Rattus norvegicus: one gene and its partner. The protein of the gene in region 1 interacts with the protein of each later gene in a biochemical or structural test. Links are inferred from orthologs where the notes say so. Each region holds a gene or a part of one and is shown on either strand. Other genes may lie near its edges.

What was found.
Region 2: the proteins of Ranbp3 (region 1) and Rcc1 form a complex in vitro, tested with the Homo sapiens proteins (2 studies listed by BioGRID). The link is inferred for Rattus norvegicus from reciprocal best matches to the Homo sapiens genes RANBP3 and RCC1.

Annotation. Positions count from the first base shown.
Region 1 is NC_086027.1:1,621,974-1,625,473, reverse strand, and holds part of Ranbp3 (ran-binding protein 3), read right to left. Parts: intron 2,901-3,500; coding exon 2,773-2,900; intron 55-2,772; coding exon 1-54. UniProt on the Homo sapiens protein: Acts as a cofactor for XPO1/CRM1-mediated nuclear export, perhaps as export complex scaffolding protein. Bound to XPO1/CRM1, stabilizes the XPO1/CRM1-cargo interaction. In the absence of Ran-bound GTP prevents binding of XPO1/CRM1 to the nuclear pore complex.
Region 2 is NC_086023.1:149,825,632-149,829,586, forward strand, and holds the start of Rcc1 (regulator of chromosome condensation), read right to left. Parts: upstream 2,801-3,955; 5' UTR 2,768-2,800; exon of another isoform or gene 2,587-2,767; intron 1-2,586. UniProt on the Homo sapiens protein: Guanine-nucleotide releasing factor that promotes the exchange of Ran-bound GDP by GTP, and thereby plays an important role in RAN-mediated functions in nuclear import and mitosis.

The sequences.
Region 1 (3,500 bases):
TTCACAGTGCGTCTCCTCTGAGCCTCCACTTGGGGTTTTCTGAGGTACCTTCTCCTAGAAGGAAAACCTATATTTACCAACAGGACAATGGAGTGCTCAGGAGCCTAGAAGGAGCCAAGCTCCTGCTTTACTGGAAGCTATGACTCTCCTGGGGTAGGCACCATTAGAGAAAGGCCTGAACCTCAGACCTGTGCTGTGGGCCCAGGGATCTGAGGGTTTGGGATGGTGCTAGGCCTGAAGCCTAGCAGCTGAACAACACCAGCAGTCCTCTGCCTCAGTGGAGCTGAGGAAAGGGATGCTTCCAGCTGGATGGCAAGGTGGATGGCCTTGTGGAGATTTCAAGACTCTAGGGCATCCCTCTTAAAGGCAGACTGGCTTTTGGTCTGGAGAAGCATTAGGTGGAGATGAGGCAGACTGCAAATATCACAGACACTCAAAAGACAGTCAAAAGACACCTCTAAGAGCCTGTTCTTGGGACCTTCAGCTCAGGCATGACTCTGGCTGTCAGCGGGAGCAGGGCACATCAGCACACCTTGGTACCAACAGACCCAGAACCAAGACCAAGGGTCCATCAAGCAAGGGGATAAATACTCAGAATGTAATTATAAACAGTAAATGGCAGACACAGCAGCTACCAAGCAGCAGATCAGATAGTCACTAGAAGGAATGGTGTGATGTGGGTCACCGATTTGGGATCTCACTGCAGAGATGACCTCAAGGAACCTCACATCATAGGCCATTCAAGTAAGAATGGCCACCTCACAGCTTCTTGTATGTGTTTTATACATGCTTACATTTGTTTCCTCCAAATTTCATTTATCTATGTGTACACACATATATGTGTGCATGTACAGAAAACAGAACAATCTCCTGAACTGGTCTGAAGGAGTCACCATGTGAATCCCTGGGATCCAACCTAAGTCCTCTGACTCAGAAGGAAGCATTTTTTTTTTAAAAAAGATTTATTTATTATATGTGTCTTAAGACACACCAGAAGAGGACATCAGATCCCATTACAGATGGTTGTGAGCCACCATGTGGTTGCTGGGATTTGAACTCAGGACCTCTGGAAGAGCAGTCGGTGCTCTTAACCACTGAGCCATCTCTCCAGCCCAGAAGGAAGCATTGTTAACTCACTGAGCCCTCACTGGCCCTTCTAAATTCTTACAAGTGTGACTGTTCTGAGTACAGGAACTTGATCACCCATGTAGCCTGAATAAGGAGAATTTTGAGTCCAATACCCTAGCTGTACAGTGGAAGGTGGAGTATAGGAGCTCCAACATGTCTGTGATAGCAACTTGCAGTGTAGGAAAATTTGGTGGGACAGTTCTGAGCTCTCTCCCAGGCTGTTAAGACTTTAAATGTTTTTAGCTGCTTGACACCCTACAAATCTGGCCGCATTCTGACTCTCTCATGGCCCTGTAGCTACTACACAGGGAGGGTGACTTGTGTGCACAGTCCTCTGGGCACTGTCCCCCACTGAGAACCAGCCCCTGGGCCTGGCATGGCTCTGCAAAGATTTCTACCAGCACAGGGAATCTCCAGAAGTCCCTTTCTGCCAAGTATGTCACCAGGTGGCTGTCTCCTAGCCATAATCCCACTCCATCTTCACAAAGCTCACTATTACATAAGCTATATAAGGTCAGCATCATGAATCAGGAATGGCTGAAAAGGTAAGGGTCTTGCCTGTTCTTGCTACAGGACCAGAAATATGAGTATGGTGACCCTGTCTATCCCCAACGGCCTGGGAATGAGGCTTGCATCTGGAATGTGCAACCTTGGGCTCAAAGTTGGGGTGCCACAGAGACAGAATTGAGAGTCTGATCGAATCTGCAGACTAAGAACCCAGCCTGCCGGTGAGGAGGTGGAGCAGAGTGTCCCAAGCTCAAGGTCAGAAGGGTGGGACTCAAGTAGACCCCTGCATGGTGGAGCGAGACGCCAGCATAGCCTGGCTGGCGCCTTGTACTTGATTTCCTCCTCAGTCTCAGACATACTCTCAAGAAGCAGGCTGGGAGCTATTTCTAACCCCCACTTTGGATGCTGAGGTGGGATGGGCATTTTGTAGGGGAGAATAGACACACCATTCATTATGCCTGTGACTCCACACAGTGGCCAGCCTGGGAACTGGGGTCCCCATCAAACCCCTCATCCAGCTGCTGCTGGCATATTGCCCTAGCCTCAATCCTGGGTCTGCACAGGTGCCTCTTCTCTCTTAGGTAAGTTTTTCAGGACTGACAGCCCCAGCACCAGTCATTCTGGGGATTCATCTGTGACTGTAACAAAAGTGGGACAATTCGTGACAGTGACTGACAGCCTATCAACCAATGCCAAGTGTCCACTGGCTAGGCTCTCAGTCTCTGGTGTGGTGTGGGAGAACCTTTAATAGGATCCCACGGAAGTGGGTAGGTCACAGGGCACTGCCCTTGGCTCTCCCCTATTAATCCCATGACTGCCCATCTCATGAGCACTCCCAGTGAAGTGGGCTGTAATCAGCTGGGGGCAGCAGAGCCAGAGCCATGCCTTCACATGCCTTCCAACTTATAAAACCAAGCCAATAAATCTGTCTCTGCAAATGCCCTGCCTGGGTGTTGTTAAAGTGTGGAAAGGGGAGTGGCCTTGTGCAACCTTGTACAAGAGCATGAGCAAACCCATGAGAAGTTGCCCAAGCTAAGAGTGCTGGAAACCGCTATAGGTCTTTGGACACCAAGAATTCGCACAGACATCAGGGCCTTGCATTGCAGCCCACCCTGGCCGCCCCCAAGACCAACCAACCTCAAATGTGTGTGTCCCCTCGGCAGACTCAGAGGGACTCCTCTGTGTGAGGTTTTCTGGTGATGCAGAAGTGGCTGGCCCCGTGCAGTCCGCTGGCATACTGACCCCATTGGTGCCACTGCTGGGGACTGGAAAAAGGAGAGAGAGAGGAGGTGGGGGGAGGGTGGACAGATGTCCCCAGCCCTCCAGCAACTAACCAAGCTGCTAGACTCTGAAGTTCACTCATCCTGGGCTGTGTGCAGTGATGAACGTTCTTAATCTCAATAATTGGGAGGGAGAGGCGGGTAGATAACTATCTGAGGAAAGACAGAGCTACATAGCAAATTTTAAGTCAACCAGGGTCATATTTAAAAAAAAAATAAAAAAGGCATGTGGCCTTAGACTAAAAAACAAAAAAATGCCAAAACTCACAGACATGAGGAGCTGCTGCCTTTATGCTACAAGACACTGTGTGGCATATAGCTGGGTGTGCTCAGGGAGGGCCTGGGTCTCCTCCTCAGACACACACACACTCACACACTCGTACTCACACACTAACACACTCACACACTCGTACTCTCACACACACACACACACTCACACACTCGTACTCTCACACAAACACACACACACTCACACTCACACACTCGTACTCTCACACACACACACTCGTACTCTCACACTCACACACACACACTCACACACTCGTACTCTCACACACACACACTCACACACACTCACACACTCGT
Region 2 (3,955 bases), on another chromosome or scaffold:
TCTGGTGTGTCTGAGGACAGCTACAGTGTACGCATAAGCAGTAAATCATGCTTAAAGCCTGCACATACATGAACTTGGTTATGGCCCCACTGCCTTCCCAGAGGTGCATTTTCTGGGTTTCTCACAAAAAGACAGTTCTGTTTACAATAAACTGAAGTCTCCACACCTCTAGGGTACAATCTGTCAGAATCTTACCCAGGACACCCCAAGGTCATTCCATTTCTCAGTCACTTTCTGAAGACTTGCTCTGTGTGTGTAAAGACAGTTACACACTGCTTGGAGAAGCCCGTGTGTGTGTGTGTGTGTGTGTGTGTGTGTGTGTGTGTGTGTGTGTAAAGACAGTTACACACTGCTTGGAGAAGCCCACGTGTGTGTGTGTGTGTGTGTGTGTGTGTGTGTGTGTGTGTGTGTGTGTGTGTGTATAGACAGTTACACATTGCTTGGAGAAGCCCATGTATGTACCCTTTCCCTGAGCACATTGCTAACAGTCCCTGTGCTTAAATCACTGGTTCTCAACCTGTGAGTCACAACCACTTGGGGAACTCTACTCAGTCCGGGCTTCTGGAAAAGCAGCCAGTGCTCTTAATGGGCCATCTCTCCAGCTTCAAAGCCATCTATTTTTAACTTCATGTGTGGGTTTGTGCATTGGGAATGCACAAACATGCAGACTGCAGAAGGTGCTGGAGCCTCTGGAGCTGCTAAATGTGGATGCTGAGACTCAAACTCCCGTTCTCTGAAGAGTGGTATAACCCTCACCCATCGAGCCATTTCTCAGGCCATTTAGATAAAATCTCCCCATGTGCTATATATATATATATATATATATATATATATATATATATATTTTTTTTTTTTCCCCCCACAAAACCTGAGGTAGAAAACAAGGTTAAAATTGTTGTTCTGAAGGAGTGGCACGTGCCTTTAGTCTGAGCACTCAGCAGAGTTCCAGGACAGCTAAGGTTACATAGAGAAACCCCGCCCCCCCCCCACCCAAATACCTCACCCCAGCAATAGATAAAAATAATATTGTTGCTCTTCCAGAGAAACTTGGTTGGAGTGCCAGCATCCACATGGTGGCTCATAACCATCTAAGTCCATTTCTCGGGGTTCCCATACACACGGTACACAAAAACACAGGCAGGCAACATTGACACATTAGTAAGGGGCTAGAGACATGCTTTGGCCATTAAGAGCATTGATTGCTCTCTCCCAGAGGACCCAGGTTCAATTTCCAGCACCACCCACATGGCAGCTCAGAAGTATAGGGCTCTAGATAGGGAAGCGGACACTTTCATAGTTACATGTGCACGCAAAACACTGATGCACAAATTATATACTTGAAAACTTTTAAAAAAAATAAATCTTGGGCTGGGGATTTAGCTCAGTGGTAGAGCGCTTACCTAGGAAGCGCAAGGCCCTGGGTTCGGTCCCCAGCTCCGAAAAAAAGAACCAAAAAAAAAAAATAAATAAATAAATCTTGAAAAAAATTAAGGAGGCGGGTTAAGACTTTAATCCCAGACTTAGGGAGGGAGAGGAGGGAAAATCTATGAGCTGGAGGCCGGCCCACTCTACAGAAGGAATTCCAGAATAGCTAAGGCTACAGAAACATTGTGTTGAAAGACAAAAGGGAGAGTCCAGCAAGTTATCAATAATCATAGATGGGGGATCGGGATTTTCTATTCAGGATTAAGCTATTAAATACTTGTGTCTAAGTGCATACATGCTCTCTCTGCATTTACATGCCTGTGTTCATGGAGCCCAGGGTATTAGGTGGGTGCTGCTATGTATCAGGTGCACTAACCACTGAACCATCGCTAACCCCATTTTTTTTTTTGTTTTTTTCGGAGCTGGGGACCGAACCCAGGGCCTTGCGCTTCCCGCTAACCCCATCATTAATCTCTTTATAAGACCCTGTTTGTGGCACACCTGTAATTACAGCACAGACAGGTGGAGCCTGAAGTCAACCTGATCTACAGATTTCCAGGTCAGGACTCACAGGGAACCATCTATTATACACTGGCTGGGATCTTAGCTGTTCTGTGTGCATGTATGGACATGCCACAAGAGGCCATCAGATCCCATCATAGTTCTGAGGCACCAAGTGGTTGGCAAGAACTGAACCTAAGACCCCCGGAAGAGCAGCCACCACTGGTAAGATTCCCCAACATTTTTAGGAGACAAGACTCACTGTGTAGCCCTAGATGGCCTCTGCCTGGGACTAACCTTTCCTGTTAATTTAGGGTATCATGCACAGTAAGGCAAGCATTAAGCTACACTCCCCAGTCCTGTATACTTATTAAGCATTAAATTGTAAGCATGTCTACGTAGCTGGGCATTTGAAGGTTACCAAGACAACTGTGATTGAGGACAACCTCTGAAACTGGGAGGTTGGCAATTCTGAAGCAAGGGTGCTTGCATAGGAACAGAAATTGTACTTTAAATCCAGGCAGCTCATCTCACAGAATGCAAGATTTAGTCTCTGACCTCAAGAAAAATTCCTCTTGCACCTTGAAGCCTAGGTACATATTCCTACCCAGGGTCCTCAAGAAACTTAAGGGCAGGTGAAATAGCTGAAGGCAGACTTACACACAGAACCTCCCAAGGTCACCGGATTCCACTCTGGAGTATAAACATTAGCTAGTGTCTATTGAGAATGCTGCTCCATCTACCCTTTCTGTCAGAGGGGGCCACAGATGCAAGTATTGCCCCACTGCAGGCCCAATTTATTTCCAAGAACAGGGAAACATACCAGCATCTTCAGGCCTACCTTCGAGGTGCCCCCTCAATGCCCCCATCATTGAGGGCCCTGACTGCTCCGTGGAGGCAGGCAGCAAGGAGTCATCAACTTCCCATTATGACCTCAGGATCTGTCCACCTTCTATCACAAGGCTACCCAGTTTTAGGACTGTCCAAGTTGAACTGCTTAGGACTAACCTCCCAAATTCACTTGACTAGTTTCCCACCCAACACTATCACCAGAGCAGAAGGAATGTAATTTCAGTACTTGGATGGATCAAACATTCACTCGGTTTATCTTGAACCCATCTGTAGCCGTCTGCATGCACACATTAAATCACAAGAAAAGGCATTCAAAAAGCTTTAATTCAAACTTGTCAGGCATATCACAAAGACTCATAGATTACAACTGGATCGAATAACCCATTCTGGATCTGAACTCATGGCTACAATCTTACAGAGAACATGGGAACAAAAAATATAAAGTTTATATAACATGGTCCTGGGGAAACCTCCTGGACCTCAAAAAGGAGAACCATGCTTCATTTTCACAAATCTAGACACAACCTGTATGGAAAATGTAATTGCCAGACAAAATTGAGTAGGCACAAAAGCTTGTCCAGCTTCCAATGGATGAGGCCATAATATGGACAAGATTTCACCAAGCTGCATATAATTAAAAGGCCTCAAAGTCTTTTATCAAGTAAATCAACAGGCACCTGTACAGATAGATCCTCTTCTTTCCTGAAAGAGGGGGAAAAAAAATACCACAAACATTACATTCCCGAAGGCGGCACAGCAAAAGTCTTATCACCTTTAAATTTTTGTTTCCTGCATGGTTTGTCTCCTCAGTCACGGTCCACAGGACTCTGAGAAGTCGTAGGAATATGCAGGCGCAGACTCGAAGCCCAGCTCCATCTCCAACGTTGTGGAAAGGGACTGTACATCATCGGGCAGTACCCTATGCTCCCGTACGCCACTAGGACAGAGCCCGGGGAGAGTGACCTCCCGGGGTATCCACGTTGGAATGTCTGGTTAGTACTCTAAAAATCAGTCAAACTCAACCAATACAGACTACACACACCCCAATTAGTGTCCCACCACTATTAACTTAGACACACGGAACAAAGAACGTACCTCAATGAGTTCTTTGGGATCACTCATCAATTCTGCAATAGAAGACACTCCGTCAGTAAATTAAACGCTTAAAGTACGCAGA